Linked DNA regions of Arabidopsis thaliana. The protein of the gene in region 2 interacts with the protein of the main gene of each other region in a pairwise test. Each region holds a gene or a part of one and is shown on either strand. Other genes may lie near its edges.

Evidence for each region. Proteins that work in one complex are often made in the same cells at the same time.
Region 1: the proteins of AT2G32030 (region 2) and AT1G17310 interact in a two-hybrid assay, tested with the Arabidopsis thaliana proteins (one large-scale study listed by BioGRID).
Region 3: the proteins of AT2G32030 (region 2) and bZIP7 interact in a two-hybrid assay, tested with the Arabidopsis thaliana proteins (one large-scale study listed by BioGRID).

Annotation. Positions count from the first base shown.
Region 1 is NC_003070.9:5,924,828-5,932,401, reverse strand, and holds AT1G17310 (MADS-box transcription factor family protein), read left to right. Parts: upstream 1-3,568; 5' UTR 3,569-3,701; coding exon 3,702-4,388; 3' UTR 4,389-4,477; downstream 4,478-7,574. Other genes in the region: AT1G17330 (Metal-dependent phosphohydrolase), read right to left, coding at 807-893, 973-1,145, 1,277-1,375, 1,502-1,599, 1,980-1,998, 2,091-2,121, 2,275-2,436; AT1G17300 (uncharacterized protein), read right to left, coding at 4,962-5,015, 5,112-5,498; AlaAT1 (alanine aminotransferas), read right to left, coding at 6,309-6,425, 6,518-6,721, 6,802-6,876, 6,987-7,141, 7,235-7,430, 7,526-7,574.
Region 2 is NC_003071.7:13,629,015-13,637,486, reverse strand, and holds AT2G32030 (Acyl-CoA N-acyltransferases (NAT) superfamily protein), read left to right. Parts: upstream 1-3,935; 5' UTR 3,936-4,245; coding exon 4,246-4,812; 3' UTR 4,813-5,019; downstream 5,020-8,472. Other genes in the region: AT2G32040 (Major facilitator superfamily protein), read right to left, coding at 1-194, 325-417, 511-679, 793-1,053, 1,155-1,303, 1,403-1,565, 1,637-1,701, 1,781-2,031 and 1 more; AT2G32020 (Acyl-CoA N-acyltransferases (NAT) superfamily protein), read left to right, coding at 5,743-6,294.
Region 3 is NC_003075.7:17,719,801-17,728,134, forward strand, and holds bZIP7 (basic leucine-zipper 7), read left to right. Parts: upstream 1-3,838; 5' UTR 3,839-3,999; coding exon 4,000-4,917; 3' UTR 4,918-5,237; downstream 5,238-8,334. Other genes in the region: GRF2 (growth-regulating factor 2), read right to left, coding at 5,733-6,354, 6,428-6,779, 7,084-7,296, 7,389-7,809.

The DNA of each region.
Region 1 (7,574 bases), on a different chromosome or scaffold from region 2:
CTCCCAACGTAAGTTCTTCACATGAAACTGTTTTTTTTTTTATATACCCACCAAGAACCTGATTTTGTATTTTGTGTATGTTGTTGCAAAACCAGACTTAAATTGTAAAAGAAGAATCTTAACTGCCAACACATAAGATGAAGATTACCCAACGAACGAAAACTATTATCTAGGTATCAAAAGACAAACAAATGTCACTAATACTAAATTTTCGTCATTATACGTTTTTAAATCACGTCAGTTTGGTATAAGAATATACATATTCTGATATTCAAACCAGGTAAATGTTATATTATGGCCGACCGAAGATAGCCTCGCAATGACTTGATCCACTAAAACATCCAGAAGACATCTTATCATCTTCCACTAATAAAATTTAAAGAAGACTTAAAAACGAAAATAGCAAGTCAATATTTAAACCAGTTGACAAACAAAAAGCCACTGGACTTTATAAAACCCTTTACGAAAAAGACAACAACTGACTTTGGCGTAAAAAAAAAAATTATGAAAAGAAAACGATTGGCTCTATCGTGTAATCCTTGCTTGATTTCTTCCACAATCATTGGCATTGACAAAATAATAGAGTTTTCTTTTTTTAAAAACAAAGCAATTTTAACATTTATAAATGTATAGTTATTACGAGCTATTTAAATAGAGTTGCCTTAAACAAAAAATAAAAAGAGAGAGAGAGTTGCCACTCTGTTTAAAACCTAAACCACATATTGGTTTGGTAGGTACTGCTTACTCAATAAAATCCGGTTGAACAAATCCTCTGCTTTTCTGCTTCATTTATCATTTTTAACTTTTCAAGTTGACCCATCCCACTCTTCATAGAACTCCTTAAGATACTCTTCCATGAACTTGTGCCTTTTCTCTGCCCTCCTTTTACCCGCCTGATATGTTTTCAATCCACATTAAATCTCAAATCGAAACAAATTTTTCGCGTCAAAATAGAGTTGCGGTTAAACTTACCTCAGTTTTCATCAGCTTCTTTAGCTTGAGGAGTTTCTCATGAAAGTGATTAATAGTAGTTTGCTCCTCTCTCTTAATGTACTGCTCTTTGGTTAGCTCTGTCCGGGGCTTGATCTCAGGATCATGAAGCACTCTGTTCCTGCTTCCACCAAATGTAAAGCAACGAGCAATTCCTATAACAGAAAGAGATCAACAACAACTAATAGCACAAATTCCATAACATAGAGAATTTTCACATGACATCAAAGCAGATATTTGGCAATGACATATCAAAAGCAACTAAAGAAAAGAGACGTATTCTTACCTATGGCGCCAATTGCATCAAGGCGATCAGCATCTTGAACTACCCCAAATTCTGGAAGAGACTCACAGAGTGCTACTCCTGCTAATTCGTCTTTAAAACCTGGAAAGAATACACTTGTTCTGTTCACAAATTTATATACAACAGAATGACTTAATTGTAGTGATAAATCATGTACATTATAGTTGATTGGATATGTTGAGTAAAAAGTAGGAGCTGGAAACTGACCCATTCCATTGATGATCGTTAGTATCTTCGTCTTCTTGGTCTCTTCTATACCCTCATCATCTAGGAAATTCTCAACAAGTTTCTCTTCCGAAGGGTCTCTGAATTCCGGTTATAATTATTTTTGCCATGAAGCAACATATCAGCGGAAGGAAAGCAATCTTCAGCATTCATAGTTAAGTAGTTTTTATGTTTATATCCACACCAAGTTCCACTTAGTAGAGCCTAGCAATCCTAAGGTAAGCAAATCTGACAAGGAATTCTCACAAGCTTTACCTAATGGCATTCGCAAACAAAACACTTCCAAGTTTCTTTATTCATCCAGTTTAGATAAAACAAAGTTAAAAGCAGGGAACTTAGAGAGTTTCATGAGAAAAGTAAACACTTTTGTTTCCTGGAAGTGTGATCAAGAATGTTGGAAGGGACATTACTAGTCTATACTCAAGCGGTTCAAAAGAAAAGAAAACTTAGAGAAACAAACCTTATGTACTTGTAATCACCTGATAAGAGAGAGGGCAAGAGATACGAATTATGATCAACCTGTGGACTAGAACCACATTACTAAAACAGAAATGAAAATAAAACCAAGTACCTATATCATGGAGAAGAGCTGCAAGCTCCACCTGCAAAGTATCAACAGAAATGGTTCACTCTAAAGTAAAAGAGCTGAAATTTGACAATAAACAGCTATAGCTAACTAGAAGAACTAACTAGAAGAAGGTTCATCAGGCTCAGCTGAACTAGAACTTTGAGATTTAGGGATTTTTCAAACTCACAATTTCCATGGAGTCAGAATTGGAAGAGAGACCTTCCTCGCGAGCAATGGAGAGAGCAAGGTCTCGGACCCTCCACACGTGCCAGGCGTCATGAGAAGCATCGTTTCCTTTCATCGCCTTCTCCACCAGCTCCTCCGCCTTCCTCATCGTCTTCGCCGCCATCTATCTCTCTCTCTCTCTCAACTGCTCAGTTTCGAAGATTGGAGAGATTTTGATTTTGCAATTTCAGCGTCGGAAGCTCTGTTTTAAAATTGATTCAAGTTTGCCGTCTCGGCTCGACGTTGACCACCGGAGTCAAAGAGAAATTCGGGGAAGGAATTTACTCATTTTACCTTTTTACCCTTACGTATGAAAGAATTTATTTATTTATGTTTTTTTAAAAAATATTTAAATTTACAGAGATATTTTCACATATTATTGTAGATTAAACTACACAAACTTTGCCACTTTCTGTTAATTATTTTAAAAATCTCTGTACTGATTGTTATAGAAAACCTATTCTTTACATTAATCGCTGGCTATATAGTACTGATTTGTCAAGTTGAAAGGTCGATTTATATAAACTTATGACTTTTGGATACATTTTTCAAAACAAATTTGATCCATTGAAATGGAGATTGTCTTTGGTGTTTTCCCTAGTAAGATTTCAAGGTTTATCTTTGTCCCCGAACCTTTTCAATTGCATTGGTTATGAAGTGGTTTATCTGCTTTGGTGTTTATAAATATTCGGGATTTTAGTTGTTTCTAGAGAGGTAGTTCAATAATTGATTATTTTCCAAGTTTCTGTTCTTAAACTCTTTTTTTTTTTTTTTTTTTTTTTGTTCTATGGAATAGATTGTAATCAAGTAACAAGGATGTCATCAAATCACTTCTTGGCCACGAATGAGATACTTAATTAATTTGAATATGTGATCAATTTGTCACTTAGACATTTTACCGTGATATTTGGAATTCTTAAATATCATATGTGTAATTTGAATATGTGATCACTTCTTGGCAAGAAGACGTCATATACTCATATGTTTTTCTTCTGCTTGGCATGACATAATTGTTCTACATGCTACGTTTGTATATGTGTACGTGATAGTAAAAAGAGATTCGTGTATATTTAGGTAGACTATGCATATATTATATAAATATAATGTGTATCACAAATTCACAATCGATTATTCAATAAACGACTAAAATGGAAAGTAGTATCTCGGATTTTATATTATTTCTATAACTTTTGTATAAGACAACACATGTCTTACATTTTTACGAGAAGCTATCTTTGATTCATTGAATCATTCCGAAAAATATTAATTAATTGGAGGTGCATTTAATACAACATTCCATAAACGTACGAAGAAAAGTAAGACAAATTAATTCCTTTATTATTACATAATCATGAACGACTATAAATCCCTCGACCAAGGAAAAACCTAATGATATTTTCATCTCTCCCCTCTCGGTTAGTCATGAAAGATTTGTTCATGGAAGGAGAAAGAGAAACTTCATCGATGACTTGCTTGACGCCCAAGGATTCTGTTCAAAGCCCTAACATGTTGGTTAGACAACCAAAAAAGGAGACAACAACACAAACCCCTAAAACGACACGAGGAAGACAGAAGATAGAGATCAAGAAAATCGAGGAAGAGACCAAGAGACAAGTAACGTTCTCGAAACGCCGTCGTGGGCTGTTCAAGAAATCCGCTGAATTGAGCGTTCTCACGGGCGCAAAAATCGCCGTCATAACGTTCTCTAAATGCGATAGGATCTACAGATTTGGCCATGTAGACGCATTGATAGACAAGTATCTTCGTAAGAGTCCGGTGAAGTTGGAGGGATATTCCGGTGATAACGCGGCGGATGAGGAAAGTAGGAGACCGTGGTGGGAGCGTCCGGTGGAGAGTGTGCCAGAAGAGGAGCTTGAGGAGTACATGGCAGCATTGAGTATGTTGAGAGAAAATATAGGGAAAAAGATTGTGGCGATGGGTAACGATCGGACGGTTGATATGGTTCCGGCATGGCCAATCAATGTGATGGGATGGAAACCAACGATGGATATGCAAAAATTGGAAAATCTGACGGATGGGGTTAATCGATGCCGTGTAGGTCAAAACGGTGATTGATTAGTCCAGTCGTGAAGTATTCCTCTAATGAATTTCTAAAATATTTTATTTAGTTTTGTTAAGTTTAATTATATGATTTTATGCTATTGATCATCAGATTGTTTCATCTCTTGTATACTTCATACTTTGGAAATTCAGTTGTTTGGATTTTTAATCTTTGAACCATACATATTACATAATGTAGAACAGTATTCTATCAGTTAAACCAGCTTTCAATTTTTTTTAAGATTTGACCTGCACATGTACCATATTTATATACCACATGAAGTATTTTTGGCAGATTGAAACTGCATTTTCTCTTGGTCGTTTTCTTATTTTATGTAAGGCGTACAAGAAAAAGCAAATAACGAAGGAAACAAGTGATTCTTACAATTAAGAACAAACGGGAAAGGTTGGAATGCTGGTTCCTTAAAACAAGGAAACCAAGTCACTCTTATTTATTTGCACGACACAAATTGACACAGAATAATAACATAGACTAAGTCTTAGCTTAATCCCTAAACATGCAATTAGGTTTTCTCTTTCACGTGTTTGACCAGCCGACTCTCTCAGGCCTCAACACATCCAGTCTCATCATTGACCAATGTTGATAATTTCTCCACGGACAGCATACTCATATTTGAGAACCTGTGTGATCATTTATATCCCCACAAATAAAAATCAGAAGCAGTCAAGAAACGTTTTAAGACATCAGTCTCTAGAGTGGAGTCAAGAAAAACCGACCTTGGTATTGATGGAGTCAAGAGTTACGGGAAGAGAGGAAGAGGAATCAGAAGCAGAGATATCGGAAGAAGAAGCAGACAAGTGACGCGATGAAGAAGCAGGAGTAGGAGTAGGGACTCTTCGGAAGCTATCTTTTTCTCCTCTAACTGATGCTTTCTCCTGATCCTTGTCAATCTGTATAGGGTTTGAGCCACCCCTTGGGATTCTTCTTAAGCTATCTTTTTCTCCCTTAAGTGGCTCTTTCTTCATCTCCTTGCTTACATGCAAATCTCTCGCAGCTTGACTCGAATGTGTCATCGTTAACAAAGAACGGCCCTCTACACTATACTTGCTGCTAAAGAAAGCTACAAGTAACAGAACCAGAGCCACTGAACAGTATCTCTTCATTGTGATTTCTCTTCTTGTAAATCCGTTAGGATTCTTGAAAGCTCGTATCTTATTCTTGTGACAGTAACTGAGACAATCTTGGATAGAGATATGAGTTAGATAACTAGAGACTTCTAAAGCGTGTTGCTTTATAGACCAAGATTTGTGTGTGTTTGAAGAAATAGTTATTGGGATCTAATTACGTGATCTTACTTTGACTGCTGCTATAATAATCAGATTTTGAGTCACTTACCTTATCATTTACTGATGATGATATTACTCAGCAGCATCTACATTATCATATGTACAGTACACATTACCTAACTCATGTGCATGCTTTGAAGTTTAAGAGATGGTGGCCATGTGAATAGAGAACGTGACTACTGTCTACATTTTACTAAGGGAATTTGGAGGTATTAGCGTAATTCTCCAATTTCAGAAAGAATAAATTGCAGGTAACAGCTGTTTTGTCTCTCAACTAATCACTACTTTTCTCCACAATCTTTAATCTTATGCAGTTATTTATATTTTCAAACGAAAATGATTCTGTGAAATCGAAACTTTGAACATGGAATTCAACAATGGTTCAATCTTGTGTTTTCTTGATGAGATTACATTTTGACTAACCGTTTATAAGAAACTCTCTCAATTTATATTACGGTTTTTCACTATAAAGAGAACAGAACAAAAAGTGAATAAGAAAGAGAGCACTAACTAATGCTCTCACATCTTAGCTTCTGTAAACACAAAGTCGATGAAAAAGAAACGGCATGGGACCTTTTTCTTATTATTACTCATATAATCTATAGAGGGATCTTGAAAACAGAATGCTTAGTCGCGGAACTCGTCCATGAAGCTCTGGTGGAACGCAGTTAGACGATCAACAATCGCTGGAATCTTATCCTCTTGGGGAAGTATAGTGCACCTGAAATGCCATGTTCCAGGTACCTACATCAAACCGAACAAAGACATAATCAATATCAGCAAGTGAGGTTTTAGTTTTGGTTCTTTGGAGAAAAAGCTATTTCTTTTTTTCAAACCTGTCTAAAGCCAGAACCAGGGACAACGACTATTCCAGTAGCTTTTAGAAGGCGTTTGCAGTAGAAATTGTCTGGTGCTGTCTTTTCCGCCTCAGCAGCTGCAATTGCCTTTTGTGGAAGGTGAAGGCAAGGGAATAGATACATAGCTCCTTCTGCTCTATTGCATGTAACTCCCTCTAGCTTGTTCAGAGCCTCTTCAAGAGTCTGCAAGGTTAGAGTTCAAACACTTTAAGAACAGAAAGTTCTAATCTTGAATATTCCTAGTTGTCTATTAAATGGCTAACCTTTGCACGTCTTGCCAAAGATGAGAGAATTCCATCCTTCTCTGCTATGTATGATTCATAGGAGTCGTCACCAGGCTGATCAAATTTAATAAAAGCTATTAAGGTCAATTATCGATGTGCAAGTCCAAGCCAACAGGTGGAAACTGAATCAATTGTGATGATAAAGTCATATAGATGTTTTATACCTTGGGTGGGCTCATGATGAGGCTAGCAAGAATTTGACCAGAGATGTTGGAACAAAGATTCACAGAAGCCATTTTGTATATCTGCTCTCTTACATCAGAAGTGAATCCAGTAACCTCCATGTAACCACCTCTTTTCCCACACTCTCCATAGTACCCTGTCAGAAATAATGAATTCAGTTTTCTGACTAGTTTCCCATCGCAATGATCAGAATTATCAATTGACTAAGAGATTTGTTTTTGTATCAAACCTTTGGAGACAGATTGGAAAGAGACTAAGGCAAGATCCTTCTCACCGTAGCCCATAGAGCGGGCTACTTTCTTGAAGGAATGGAACTTTTTGTCAGGGACATAGACATTCTCTTGATAAACCTCGTCTGCTAAAAGAACTAAACCCTCTTGCTTGCAGAACTTAACAACGTCACGCTGGTTTTCTTCCGAAAGAACCTTTTACCAGAACAAAGCAGAGGTCAAATTTAGACGAAACTATGAAATTCACATCGGTATAAATTTGTGAGTTTTAGTCTTGAAGATTAATTTACCTGCCCTGTCGGGTTTCCAGGGTTAATGACAGCCAAAGCTCTCACAGTG
Region 2 (8,472 bases):
CAGAGGATAATAAGTGTTGATAAGTTACCAAAACTGTCTCTTGTAATGCCGAATGCTTGAGTCAGTCCTGCACCCATAAGCCCACCTAGAACACTGCCTCCGTTAGAGATTGACATGAGTGTAGCGAACAGAGTTGCTTCCATTCCTTCTGGACATAATCTCGCTGCTAACACAAGAACCGGCATGAATGAAGCCTGTTACAGTTCGATTTTAAGCTGTCAGTGCATAGATATTGACAAATTCCAATAATGCTCCATTAACTATGGAATCACAAATTCCAATAATGCAGCCTTTGAAAAACTCAATGCTGACAAATATGTAAACCTGAGCAAGGACTGTTAGGATTAGAGAGTCTCCTATAGCAAACCATTCGTCGCTAATCCCCAACTGTCTGTTAAAACCTGACACGAGGATAACCTGCAAAACATAAGAACGGTCCCAAGAGTTATTGGTTGTGTAACAGATAATAGATGGCAAAGTTTTTCTTGTAAAGAGCGGACGGGAACCAACCTGAGTCATCCCAAGACCCGTGCCAAAAATTGTCGTCACGAGAAAGATTTTTCTCAATGGAACAGTCTTCAGGAATCCATTGTACAGTCCTACTCCAAGCAATGAGGCAATTGAGGTCACAAGTTTAACTCGTCCCAGAAACTCCGGGGTAAAACCGAGTTTGTTCGTTCTGAGGTGAAATTTGTACCAAATAAAATTAGTTAGAGACTAGTTAATACATTCCAGAGAATATGAAATAAGCCAATAACCATGAAGGCATGAACCAAGTGGAAGAGGACATACGTGAAGTAAAACATTGCAGAATCTGAGTGTGGTGTGGCTTGCCATAAGAATATAAATAAGGTGGGGAGAAAAACATTCGGTTGCTTAATGGCACCCCATAGCTGAATCATGTTCTGCTTTGAGGTCTGAAGAAAACCAGGACTGAGCAGCGTTATATTCTCTTTCTGCCCTGATGCTGGTCTGACCACACGTTGTTCATTCACGAGAACAGCAACTGCTGAAGTTATCAAGGGTAGTAAAGCTGTCACCCCAAATACAAACCTGAGGTATAACAGCTTTTAGAATGCCACTTAGTTAGTTAGCTATGCCACGGAATACCGAAAAAGAGAAAAGCTACTGTTTGCGCAAATTGTGAACTGTACCTCACACCATATGACTCCACCAGGGAGCCGCTAAAGTAGGAACTCACAATTCCACCAAAAGCTGAGGATCCCCAGCACAAAGACTGCAGCGATCCTGACACGCTTTGTGACTCACCACGAGCCCGTTCCACTACCATTGAGTCTACTACCTATTAAAACGTTAACCACTTAATTAATATTTCAATATATCCAACTCTATCTTGCAACTTAACCAAGCTAAGTTAACCAGAATGGATTTGAAAACTTACAACATCAGAAAAGGCGACAGAGAGGGAACCGAGAAGTATACAAAAAGCAGCACTATATTTACTGTCAACAAAACCAGCCATCAAACTCCAAGAAAATGCACCAAGAAGTCCCGAGAGAACTAGATATGACCTCCTTCGATAACCAAATAGAGGCACTGAATCACTGCAAAACAGACCAACTTCCTTAAACAGTTATCACAGTCAAGAGGTATAGAGGTGATAAAGAACTCATACCTGATAAAACCATAGAGAGGCTTAACAAGCCACGGCAATGAAGAAAGACCCGTTATCACAGCTGTCTAGTCAAGAGGTATATATTTGTCAGCCTATAAAGAGATATTCCCATGAAAGTCCAACAAGGAACTACAAAAAGCATACCTCAGCAGGATCAAGATGCAAGTCATCTTTTAAATAGAAACTAACAGCGAGCCTAGCGAGTCCTAAAACACCTTGAACAAAATACACCATTGCTACAGCAACATTATCTGGTGATAATTCAACACCGTAGAATTTGATTCTGCTGCTACTAAGATTTCTTCCTTTACGAGGGGGAGGCTGTGTTCTAATACTAGAAGTAGTATCTCTGTCTCCTTCTACATCTGTATTCGATGTATCTCCTTCAGCTACACCTATTCATATACACACATTTCTGAGGATTCAGTTAATGGAGCTTCGATACTTGCAAAACCTAATCCCAAATGCCAATTTCTGAGGATTCTGTTGCTTTAAGAACTTACTGATTCGAGAATCTAAAAGCAGGCTTTCCTCAGAATCCCGCCGGCGAGGAAGCTCCGGGATTGAAACTATGGAGGACATATCTCTATCAGGAGGTCTCTTACGAATCTTCCGGCGTGATAGTCGGTGAGATCGAGCGGCGATAGCAAGGCGTCGTCTCTCGTTGTTGATGGATGGCAAAACTGTAAATTGAGAAGGTGAGATTGAGATAGAGAAAAGAGAGCGACTCGCCATTTTAATATTCGTTCTTTTTTTTTTCTTTCTTTTCTTTAAATAAACAACACTCCGTCTCTTGCGCTACGTAGATAAATTAATTTTTCTTCGTCTTTTTTTTCGATTGATAAATTAATTTTTGATTTTTCTCATGAACTATATTAGCAGCTTATTAAATTTTTATTGACAAAATATGTATTGAACCTTATATTTTAAATAATTTTGAGTTTTAATGTCTTTTTATGTGATTTATTGTAAAAAAAAAAAATCAAATTCCAGTAAAAATATGAGATTTGAATTTTTATATATGTAACTAAATAAATCTTTTTAAATTTTCTCAAATCCTTTAAAATTAATAAAGAGGTGTATTAGATCTAAGTGTGTCAAAATGGGTAACACAACTCAACTCAACTCATAATCAAATGAGTTTAGGGTTAAATGAGTTATGGGTTGATCCAACTCATTTTGTTAAATGGGTTAAGTCAACCCATAACTCATTTAATTTAATGGGTTGAGTTGTTAAATGGGTTAACCCATTTAAGTAATAATTTAATTAATTATTATTATAAAATAATAATAAATAATTATCATTATTAATTCATTATCATCAAAACTTAATATATTTACGGATTCCACTTTTTACGGGTTTACGTTTTTGGCGGGAAAATCTCGGGTTTACGTTTTTGGCGGGAAAATCATGGATTTACGTTTTTGGCGGGAAAATCACGGATTTACGTTTTTGGCGGAAAAATTACGGGTTTACTTTTTCTCAATTTCATCGCTTGTATATTTAAGAAATTTGGAAAAATATTAATTTTATTAAATTGGTTTAGATGTGTTGGTTAGACTTAAATTGGCATTGGTTTAGAGATTTTAGTTGGTTTAATTCAATTTTACAAAATTTGATGGGTTAATTGGATAAACCATTGAAACCATTAACCATTACAACCCAACTCATTTTACTCATCAAACCAATTGACTCATCAACTCATTTGACTCATCAACTCATTTGAGTCAAAATTTTCAACTCATTAGGGTTCATGGATTGAGTTGAGTTGAGTTGAGTTGACTCATTAATTTGGACCTTACAATTTGAGTTTTAGCTAGTTTTTATATGAGTTTGATGATTTTAGGAAAATTGATGTGATTTATTATAAAATATTTTAAAATTCTATATAAGACCATGAATTTCGATTTTGTTATTTTTAACTAAAGAACTTTCTCAAATCCTTCAAAATTAATAAGAATCAAATCTACCAATTATTTTCAATAACAATAGATTTTAAGATAGAATTTTAAATCTTTAGTTCAATAATACTAGATTTCATTAAAGTTTTTCAAATCCATAATCGAACAACATAGAATTTATAAATTTTACACAAATCACTTAAAATATTAGATTGAATACATTCTTATAAAAATCAAATCCATAAATTATTTTTAATAACAGTGAATTTAAAGGTAGATTTTTAAATTATTATTTTAATAACACTAGATTTCATTAGAATTTTCAAAATCCATAATTAAATAACATATACTTGTAAAATTTACGAAAGTCACTTTAAATACTAGATTGAATATACCTCTTTTAAATCAAAAACGATGAATGGATGGTAAATATACGGTTCACCCATACCCATTATAAACCGTCTTTTTCACACCTTCCATTCAACAAGAACTAATTGTTGCGTATTTGACCGATCGAAGCAAGAAGGAACGTTCTGTTTATTTTCTTTTTTGTTAAAAAAAAATCAGTATTTAAATCGTGATTTGTAGAAGAAGTATTATCATAATGCCTCTACACAAATCTGTAAGAATTGAGAGAGATAATTTATTTTAAAGAATCCCAAAGAAGCTTCAAAGACTCAAAAAGGAAAGTAACCAAGAAAAAGTCAATGGAGATGGACTCAACTACTACGATCAAACCGGAGACCCTATCCACCGTGAGTTCCTCACCTCCGGAGAAAATCCATCTCCGGCCAATGACTCTTTCCGACGTCGACGATTTCATGGTTTGGGCCACTGACTCAAACGTCACACGCTTTTGCACGTGGGAGCCTTACACTAGCCGAGAAGCCGCGATCGCGTACTTAAACGACGCTCTTTTGCCACACCCTTGGCTTAGAGCTATATGCTTAGATAACGACCGTCCGATTGGCTCGATCTCCGTAACGCCAGTCGATGAGATCAGAGGAGAGATTGGTTATGTCCTCGGAAGCAAGTATTGGGGGAAAGGGATCGCCACTGAAGCGGTGAGGCTTGTGGCGGGGGAGATATTCAAGGAGAAGCCAGAGATGCAGAGGCTTGAGGCACTTGTTGACGTTGACAATGTTGGATCTCAAAAGGTTCTTGAAAAAGTTGGGTTTGTGAAAGAAGGTGTGATGAGGAAATTTATGTATCTTAAAGGAAATGTTAGAGATATGGTCATGTTTAGTTTCTTGCCTTCTGATTCGTTGCACTGATCTGATTTGAATTAACAAATATCAAATATATATATTAAGTTTGTTTGATGTCGAAATTTATATTTTGCTTAGTTTGTAAAAATCACATGTATAATTTGATGTGATGCTCTATCTTTCTTCTTCTTATGTAATTGTTAGTTGTAACCTTATATATTAACTATTTCATACAAAAGTTATTTTTTATAATTTGAGAGTAATGTATTTACTATTTACCATGTTCACTTCACCAAATAAAACAAAGCTTCACTATCTCAGAAAAAATGTAAGTTTATATTGAAAATTAAAAGTACAAAATGAAACATGATATATATATATATATTTTCTTTTTGAATCTAAACATGAAATATTTTATACAATAAAAAGATAGTGTGATAGCTAGTTTTACAGCGATAGATGAATGGAATTCTGATAACATTCGATTAATTAATCTTTAGCTAAATTACTTAATCATACAACATGTTGAGTGACTTGATTCTTGAGTTGATTTTGACAGTATATAACAAACGATTACGATCATTTGCACCACAAATATTAACAGTATTAAAATATTTAATCCATTTAGAATAACTTGAGAAACAGTTAAATCCTTTTTGGGAATCAGACCACACACGATTTGACACGTGGCATTGTGGGCATCCAACTGGAAGCAACACATTAAGTTCCGAAACCAGAACAATACTTTGTTTGGCAACCAAGTAAGTGTCGAAAGTCCAAGGTCAAATATAGACAATTATCCACTCACACGATGACACCTCATCTTATGTCGTATATTTAACACTAAATACACTTATCTATAGCAAATGGTAATATTTAGTGTTTTTTTAGTCAAAAGCAATAAGGGAGAATCTCAAAGTTTTTCAAGATCGCGATGTGTATAAAGACATCGCTTAGACGTAGTGATATGATATCTAAAACAATCACTAATCCTAAATGGAGATGGACTCAGAAGAAACTAATCCAATAATGAGCTCTTCGCCTCCGGGAAGAATATCTCTCCGGCCGATGACTCTTTCCGACGTCGATGACTACATGGTTTGGGCCACAGATCCTAAAGTGGCTCGATTTTGCACTTGGGAGCCTTGCACGAGCCGAGACGAAGCTATCAAATACATAACCGATCGTGTCCTGACACACCCTTGGCTCCGAGCCATCTGCTTAGAAGACGACCGTCCAATCGGCTACATCTTGATCATGGCGGTTGATAACATCAGAAAAGAGATTGGTTATGTCCTAGCGAGAAAGTATTGGGGAAAAGGGTTTGCCACGGAAGCAGTGAGGCTAGTGACCGCGGAGGTATTCGAGGAATTTCCAGAGATTGAAAGGCTTGAGGCACTTGTTGATGTGGACAATGTTGGATCTCAAAGGGTTCTTGAAAAAGTTGGGTTTACTAGAGAAGGTGTGATGAGGAAGTTTATATGTATCAAGGGAAGTGTAAGAGACACTGTTATGTTTAGTTTCTTGTCTACTGATACTTTGAAGTAATTAATCAACAAAAAGATTAATTAGCAATTCTACATATATATGTTGGATTTAGTGTATGATTCATATACGTAATACATGATGTAAACACTCTGTTTTTCATTTGCCAAAAAAATCTATAAATCCTACATTGTAAATTACGAAACAATTAAAGTCAGTGCATGAGACAGAAGTGAGGTTAGAGGGATCATCCGATTACAAATTGATAGGTAGAGAAGAGTTTTAAAAATCAAAGGTTAATAGAAGCGTATAAACGAATAATGTAGAATGTAAATAAAACAATGGGATTCGTCCTGTATCCATAAAAAGGTTCACATACTCATCCAACAAGCAAAAGAAAAAAAAAGCAAAACATCCCATGGTCCTTGGGATGAGAACTTAAGAGCCAGACCAGCTTTGTTAAAATAACACAGGATATTAAAAGTATTTGTAAAATTTGAATTATGAATTTATGTAATTCAACAAATTTACTATAAGTAGTACGTAATTAATTTATTATGATTTCTCCATATTTCTTAAATTAAAGTAAACAATCTTTAGATTCCCCTGAGTTTCTTCTTCTTGTTGGAAAAATGAAGTTTACTCGTGCGTAATTCGTTAAGAGAGAAGCCCATGTGGCCCAAATTTAGGGCCCGTGTAGTGGAGGTTTCGTTATAAAGAATCTAGTGAGAAGTGAAGTGAGCAATTTCTTTTCTTTTTTTTTTGTTATGAAGAAAATAATCTGGAAATAAGAAATTACAAGAAAAAATGGATTTTTTTGGGTAAAAAAAAGAAGAAGAAATCAATCATCACTGTGCTTGTGTGAGGCTAATTTCGTTTCCCACTTTCAAAGGACTAAATATATTACTAATACAATTTATTTTAACTTCTGTGGTAGAACTAAAATATATTTGGCCTATAGATACACATGCATATCAAAAAAAGTTATTTTTAGGTTATGTGAATAAAGACTCCACTCCGTTCAATATGTCTGACCAGTCAGTCCATATAGGATATACGCATATAGTATGAAACAATTTATTAGTATTTGAAATCACTATGTAAGTATGTGATATTTTCTGTTAACCAACAAAAAAATTAGATTCATTTACTAACTAGCTCACTAAACATATGTTTTTAGGAATTAAAAATAATCTTAGCTCCAAAATTCGATAAGACTATATAGATATTTTACCTTTAAATAGGTACAAATTTGGAATGAACCGCAACATTTATCGAATTAGATAAAATATCAGAATGTCCACTCCTGTAAATCATAGCTGATGGACTTTAATTTTAATAGGATTGGAGTAATAGTTAAAGGTATTTAAGTAAATCATTTCGATATACACTTCTTGTTCTGGACCACATATTCCATTCCATTTTTATTTATTTGTTAATGTTAGGTAAAAATAGGGGTTTTCATGAAAAAAAAAATAGAGCTGATCATTGTCTCACTTCACATTGTACAAGAATGTTTTTATTTTATTTTTAATTTGGGTTTAAAATAAATAACCCAAAAAAAAAGGGAATTTAGAAGTGTTGTTGTAATCACGAAAGCTGAAACAAGAGAAAGCATGAGCAAATAGGAAAAAGAGAAAAGCATGAGATTACACAATACACTCTCTGCACTTTCATACTCTTTTTCAATCATTTCATTCTACATTCACATCTTTACACTATTCTCTCTCTTACCTTTAATATTTCAAAACATAATATACAAATTTCATCTGATTAAATTACAGCTTATATACTCAAACTAATGATTGAAAATTATTAAACCTTTTGCACGCAGTGCTACAAAAAATAATGCAAAGGTATTTGAATGTTGATATTTTGACTAATTGCTTACAATTATAACTCTTTATGAGATTGCAGAAAAAATAAAACTAATCATTGAATTTCTGTATTCCAATACATAGAATCAGAGAATGAGTGAGCTTCGAGGTTATCAAGAAGCCCTAACTTTTTCAGTACAAAGATCATCACAAGACGTTATCTTTTTATTCTTTTCACTTTTCCTTTGTAAGAAAACTATCATAATGAATGAAATAATTGCTTTTGCTGTATAGTATTTTTGTTACACTTATTAAACGGCTAAATCTTACTTATACAACAAGCATTACACTATCATTGTCTCGGGAACACACTTCAATTTACAATAATAATATTATCAAAAACTATCCCTAAAAAGACTGATGA
Region 3 (8,334 bases), on a different chromosome or scaffold from region 2:
TAAGGGTAAAGGAGATTGTTAATTGGACCAAAACCAATCCCTTTTTTTTTTTTTTTCCAAAACCAATCCCTAAGAATAATAAAAGAACTTTTTTTGTTTGGCATTAGTCTATCAAAAACGTTGACCTGTTTTTACGTGAAGTCAACCGTTGATTTTTTCATATTGGGCCAAATATACCAATATACTGGCCCAATGCAATTCAAGCATGATGGTGGTACAGTCGGAAATAAAAAACTTGAAAGTTGAAACATACATTACTTTAACCCGATTTAATTAGTAGGTCGACACGCAGAAAAACAATTTATGAATTGGTTATCAGTAATTTGATGTCACTAATTAGTACAATTATCGCAATAGTTGCAGGCCCCAACCACTATAATGTTAATATCACGAGAAACCAATCGATTTTTAAAGTTGCAAAGCAAAGAAGTTCGAAACTCGTTAACTAAACCCACCCTTACGTAAACATTTGACCATATTCTAATATGCATGTACATATACGATGCATACATATATATTTGGAGCTATAAGGAGAACCCTAATGGCTAATGACGTACCAAATGACGCCACACGATAAATCTCAACGAACACTCCACCACAAACATATAGATTACAAAAAGATACATTTAAAAAGCCATAATTAGTGGATTGCTAACGTTACTTACTTACTTTACATCCATTTACTCATATATATATACACCACACACACAAAAATATGTGTTAACACGAACGATGCAAGGCGACAAAAATATAAAAGTAATTTAGGAAAAATATATCGCTAATTTGTTGAACTGTAGAAGCGTAGAGTTAATTTTCTGGATCTGTTGAGTACATCCGACGGCCAAAACTTAATCGACACGAAAGTTTAGGTCGAGGACCCGAGCAATGTTAGCATTTAGTCGCCATTGTTCTTAGTCTTATACTCTTATTAATGACTTAATAATATCAATTATTGATCGTCAGACTTATATCTATTTAATATACTAATAAAAAATTAGTTTTATATATATATATATATATATATAGAAAAGTATTAACGATTTCTCCAGTATGCGACTACCTGGAGACTAAATTATCTTAAACAACATTCTATAGTATTTGTATCCGTAAAGTTTTTTTTTTTTAAATCAGTACTCAATAACATCAAATATTTGCAACTCATTTTCATAGAAACGACAGACTTTTTCAAAGAAAATTCAAATAGCAAGAGTGTTGCATGTGGACATCCATTGCCAAAGAAACGACACGTTTAAGTTTTTCCATGACAAAAATAATAGACTCATTTAGGGTTTTCCCAATTTACAAATTTTGTCGTTATATGGCCTGTATTCTTTTTATAGTGATTAAAAAACTTTACATGCGTCATATTTAGAATTTCTTCAAACTTTTTATTAAAGTTTCCTCCTCGACTTTAGTTTAAGATTTTTAAATTTAATATGACCTAAACGGGGCTAAACTAGCCATAGGCTAAGTAATTAGCATAAATATAAGAAAAGCATACACACCAAGTTGACTATAATCTTACAAATAAGTATTTGAAGTTTTAACAAATTTTTAAGAATATTTGTTCAGATATGATCTACTGGAATTCCGTTACATTTCAATGATAGTTTTTGTGGTTAACTTTTTTTAAAGAATTAAATCTTTTTAAAAAAAAAAATTGTTTTTTTCAGAGTTTATATAGTAAAATTTATAAATATAGGTATAAAATCAAAATTTATTGGATTTTCCGTAAGTTTAATTGTATGTATGAATCATCAATAGTACAAGATCCATAATATATACCTATACGCATCAAAATTGGTATATGTTTCCTCAAGCAAAGGGAAGTTCGTTAATTAGCATAAGGGTAAAGAATAATGTCTTCTACATGATTCGCATGACTATTACTTGAGTTATATAAAGATTCTATGTACGTATGTCTTCAGATATGTAAAGGAAGAATTAATGTAATTCTAAAATGTTCTAAAAAATTGATGCGGGTTTTAATTTAGTGGTTTGTATGTACGAATGTTGCTACCCTGTTCGCTGTCCGGATTCCAATATGATAAATATGCGTGTGAGTACAAACGAAAAAAAGACTATTATAGAACATTAAATCTTTAAATTATTGAGTTATTTACGTGTTAAGGCTCAATGAATATTCGAACTAAAGTTGTGACATCAATTTACAAGTAAATGTGGGCTTTCCGTCTTATAAACTTTTTTCATTTCCCATGACATGTGTATTGAACTCCTTTAATACAATAATGAGGTGAAAACTTTTTAAGATAAAGATTTTTGTAACTCCACTAGGGAAAAATCATTGTATCAAACTTTAAAAAATTTCGAAATACAAATGTTAAAATAGACCACTTAGCATGAAATGTTCGTATACGTATATAGATCGAGCTTTAAGAACTTTGTACTAATTAGGATCAAACTATAAAATATTTTGCTAATATATCAAACTGTATATGATTATCTCAACAGAACCTTGTTGTAACTTGCTATAAGCCATGTTGAAAGCTGGTTCACCAGCCGGGCACAAGCTTAGCTCCTGGCTCATCGACCGATCTGCGATACGACTTTTTCAGTGGTTAACAATAGTAATAGGTCCCTCCACTCGACCTTTTTTAATGTATATAAAAAGCTAAGATGTGAGCTTTTTTTTCTGGACATTTAAAGTTGAGTTCACATGAGACCGAACCAAAACATGAATCTGGCTATAATAAAGCGACGTGTATATGTAATATATATAAGTCTTTGTCCTCTCCACTTTATTCTATATGAAATGCATGTGGCCGTTGCTCCACATTTTTTGTTTCTCATCATAAATAAGCTAAGTAAAGGTATCTAAAAATTAATATAATTATAGTATACTAAATTTAATTTTAATCAGAATTTTGTACTAGGGATTGTGTGATTTAGAAGTCTAGGCGCATTTTTCATCCTTATTAATTATCTTTCCTTAGATTGGTAAATTATTAAGCGAAAAAGCTATGTAATGCCGTATATATATTTATACAATCAATTATGATTGATGCAGCATTTTAACCAAAGAGAAAACAATTCAACATTAAGATAAAAATTAATTTATTTTCTATATTTCCATTAATTTTCTGTTGTATATTTAAACATTATTTACGAAACAATATATTTTGATTCAAGATTTAACAATTAAATTATTGAATTTTTCACATTATATTTCTAATGAAGAAACTAATCTAAAAATACTCTACATTTGATGTATCCTTGCAATCGAAATATTCAATGTTTCCGTGTAGCAAGCAAGTATATATACTTAACTTTTTGGTCATAGGTTAACTTATAGGGTTCTTTACAAAAAGCATTGGTCTCATCTCTCATGCAAAGCACCAGTTTGGTTCAGTTAATTGAAAAGTATGTTCCTTAGATTCTCTGATTGAAACGATGATTCTAGTCCCTCTCCAGTGTGTGTCCATCCCGTGTTAAAAGAAATTGACAAAACTAAAATAAAGAAAGATTGCCATTCTCTTTAAAAAAAGATTGTCTTTCTCTTTAAGAAAGATTATTAAACAGTGAACATAAAGAACCACAAATTACTCTATTCTGACTGTAAATATCATAATTAACCAGCATATGTTCACATACAATTTTTGTTTTATCTAATCACTAACTAAAATGATAAGTTTATTGAAGATAATATGGAATTGATAATTTTTTGTTTTTTTTGTTGAATCTTCTAACAAGAATGAGAGAAAACTATATGAAGTATTCAATTCCAATATGAAAAGTTAAACTTTTTCTAGGAGTGTAAAGAAATATCTCATTCTTGAATTTCTTAAAACGTGTGAAATATGGACTGTTTTCTTCATCACTAAGCTATTACTGGTTACATAATTTTCAAATTTGTTAATTTATTTTTGTTATATGGACCCAAAACAAGCTATTGGTGCCCTACACAATATTTCCTGCTTTTACAAAAGTTGGCTCTGCCAAATAAAAATTTTCAAGTTTTTAACCCCACCATAGTGCAACATGACTCAAAAGCTGTTTATACAGTATAGTCTACGGTCTTACATCGTATTTTGGAAATATGACCAAATTACCCCTTGGTTTGTCCATAAATATCAAGCTCCAACAATGCAATTCTTCCCTTTTCCCCTTCTAATTTCTCTCATCTCTCTATTAGAAAAATTATTAGCAATTATGTTGTCCACTGCACCGGCCTTTTCATTCTCCGAACCGGGTTTGGTTAATCAATTCTCGGGTTTCCAAACCGGGTTCACTCCTTGGGAATGGGATTGCTCTGATCTCTTTTTCGTGGACCAAATGTCTCTTGAACCGGCCATCCCTAGTCCTTGTTATGGTGAATCCGACACTGGTTCCGTCAAAATTAATTCCGGTTCTCATGACATGAAAACCGGTTCTGACGAATCTTGTGCCGGTTTCGTCAAAATTAATCCTCGTTGTGACGACGCCGACATATCAAACGATCTACCGTGCTCTCAAGCAGATGAACCGGACTCGGACGACACAAAACAATTGACAGCCATCACAAATTTCGGTTCGGGAGAGAATAACCATAACCGGAAAAAAATGATCCAACCGGAGATGACCGACGAGCGGAAGAGGAAGAGGATGGAGTCAAACCGGGAATCAGCGAAACGGTCAAGAATGCGTAAACAAAGTCACATTGATAACTTACGAGAGCAAGTAAACCGGTTGGATTTAGAAAACCGTGAGCTCGGGAACCGACTCCGGTTAGTTTTACACCAGCTTCAACGAGTGAATTCCGACAATAACCGGCTCGTGACAGAACAAGAGATACTCCGGCTAAGATTGTCGGAGATGCGTCGGATTCTGATCATTAGACAACTTCAACAACAGCAACAATGGGAACTACATAACCGGAGAATGATCATGACTGAACAAAACCACCCTCATCTTCAATGATAGATCAAAATATTTAAGAAGAAAAAATATCGAAAAACTTAGAACAATAACCAAAAAAAAAAAGCAAAGCAAAAAAGAAACTCTCGCTATGTCTCTCTATCTCTCTATGTAAATGAAATGAAGGTTAGGAAGAGAAAATGATAGTTTTCTAATTTTCCTTTCCACTTTCTCGTTTTCTATATGTTGTGACTCCACTACACTAGAGAAGAAGGAAAACAAAACAGATTTTTATTTTGGTTTTCTTTTTCCCACTCTCGTGTATGAGATAAATAACTTAAAGAGTTATTAAATTAATACAACGATTTACATTATTACTTAGTGGAAACTGGAAAGGCTTTATGCGCATTGACATCATGCTACAACGCCCATAATTGTTGAAAAGATACACTGTATTTTAAAGTACTAAACCAAGCCTAATAAACCGGTTGCCACGATCCCAAATACTGTAATATCACTACATAATATATCTTAATCGTTAAAATGCCTATCTCGGCCCAAATAAAGTTTTGGAACATAAAGCCCAACAATAATTTAGGTCCTCAAGTCCATTTTTGTTACGACCCTAAAAGTTTTCCCTTGATGAAAGAGCAAAGATAAACCCTAGTTTGTAACTGAACAATTAGAATAAAGATTGTGATTATATGAAGTGATTATCAAACAAATGATTCAGAAATCGGAAACGAAGAAAGAATCAGAAGAACAACGATTTTCTAATTTCCTCTTTAAGCTTTAGAAAGACGAAACAGAACATAATGAAAGAGAAAAAACAGAGCTTTTCTTTTTTTGTTTCCTGCCGCAGGACTTGGTTTCAGTTTTCAGGTTGTGTAATGAAAGTAATCGCCATTGTGTCTGTTGTTCTCTGCAATGGGGCTGCTCACGGAGCTGTTGTTAGAGAGTGAACAAAATGTGGACTTTTGCAAAACCCCTGTAGGAGAAGATCCAAATGTTGGACTATTCGTTGTACTGTTTAGTACTTCACCTAGAGGACCTCCTAAGGAGTTTCCCCATGAGATTGGTATCCAAGTATTCACCTTTTTCACAGTAGGCTCGATTGTTGTTTCATCGGTTTGGATCGATAGGTCAAGCTCGCGGGATAGCCTGAGAGGCGAGAGTGTTGTTTTTTCTTGAGCATTGTTGTTGTTGTGTGTGGAGGAAGGGGATGATGATGCTATTGGAATTGACATTGAGAGCTGTGTCCAATCTGATGTCAGCTCTTCAGGCCAAGAATTGTGATTGTGATTCCCTGAATGCTTCTCTTGGTTGCTGCTGAAATCCAAGAACGATGATCCATAGGTCTTTGCGGTATTCGGGTTGAGTAACGAATCAGAGGATATGTGTCCAAACTCAAAAGGGTTGTTGTTGTTTCTGTGTTTCTGATGAATAACCGGAGATTCCTTGGGTTGTAAGTTGACGGTGGAAGGATATATCGAAACTCCTCTGTTTTGCAAGAGTCAGTAAGTGAGATATGAACTAACAATGAATATGCAGAGTATTAAAAATCTGTTTTCACCTGTTGTTAGGTAAAGATTCTGTAGAAGGATTGATATATTGACTTCCAATGGCGAGGCTGCGGTTGCTTGATGCACGGGCATTGCTTCTGTTAGTATTACCAGCGACAACAGGCTGTTGTGGTGTAGTAACCGCTTTGGATGCAGCAGCGGCGGTTTGGTTTTGGCCAGATTGGACTTCCACAGGCTTTCTTGAACGATGACGGCCTCTGTTGATGTGTCTTTCACAGTATTTCTGATCAGGAACGGCGTCTCTTGAGCACCGCCATTTCTTCCCATCTGTTCTGCGGCATCTCCCTGGCTCAGGGTCCATGTTACCGCCTGCGAAACCGAGATGGAAAGTTCCCCATCCGACTACACAAAACCGAACATAAACACTCATTAACCATTTATAACAAAATTCCCTATGAAAAATCCTAAAAGCAACCATTGTTGTAAAGACTTTTCAACCAACAAGACAAATCTTGAAAACCCTATGAGCAATGTTATGAAGGATTTAGCACCAAAATGACATAAAAGACTAGATAAAATCTGATTCTTGGATTAAGCAACCACACCACAAATGAGTTGATCAAAACCCCAAAACTTTCACAAACAAGTGATCGCTCAATGGAAAGTTATGTGCAACTAGAAATTGTGTTAAAGAGATGGAGCTTACAGGAACTAGGAGGCAAAGATCCGTAAGGATAAAAAGACTTCTTGATAGAGATGAGCAAACTAGAAGGAACAGGGACATTGGCTGTGATGTACTTATAGATCAACGCCTGTTGCTCTAACTCAGCCCATTGAGTCAATGTAAAAGGTCCTTTAACACCTGTGAAGTTCCCTTGCATGCTCATGTTCATCATCATTCCACCAGAACCATATCCTCCTGCATTCCACAGCAAAAATGTAAAAAATTTGATTATTTTACACAACCCATTTCACCAAAATCCAATCAATAAAGAGAAGACATTATCAAACCTGAGCTTCTAAAGTAAGAAGGTGGAGGAATCTGGTGAAGAAACGGCGAGAGAGAGTTCTTGTTATTACTGCTATTATCCAAACCGACATATTTACTGAAATCAAGAGCGTCTGGTTTATCTGAGAAGCTAAGCATTTGTTCTTGACGGCGAGAATCAGAGGAAAGAGGAGAAGCAGATCTCATGAGAGGAATGCCTTGGTGAAACGACATCGTTTTGCAATAAGCAGCTGCAACAGAAGAAGACAAGTTTTCTTCTTCTTCCGCTCTAGTTGTCGTTCTTGCTAGCTTCAAGCTTCGTTGCAAGCAATCCTCACCGATGAATCCGGATCTATCTTGTTTAGTTCCTATAAGCTCTTTTAGACCAAGTGACTCATTTTCATTACTAGTAACCGACCCAAGAACATGAACACCAATATCCATAAGAAGTAAGTAATATAAAAAGAAAAAGAAGGAAAAAAAGTTAGATAATGACTTGAGAGATAGTTGCCATGGGAGGAAGATAGCTAAAGATGAGAGAAGAGAGAGACAGAGGGAGAAGAACGAGGCTTACTTTTGATTTTCTTGAAAGAGATATATATTATTATGTGTTTTTAAAATAAAATGAAAATAGTTGTGGTGAAGCTTTGGGAGGAGACAAGAATGGTACCTAAAAACACAATCCGGATCTCGGACATGTTAGAACATATTTATCCAATGCTTTTTCATTAATTTTGCTTTTAGTTCTTCTTCTTTGTTTTGTAAAGTTTTCTTTGCTTGCTTTAAAGGTACAAACTTAGCTTCCAATTTGTTTCAAGTTGTGTAAATTTATGGTCCCAAATTAGTTGTATAATATGGTGGTAGTTTCTCTATAAGAAAACGTAGGCTATTTCTGTATTATTTGCAGTACATATTTCCCAATTTGTAGGCATTTTTCTTTATGGGGGTTATTATTTTAGATTTTAGTAA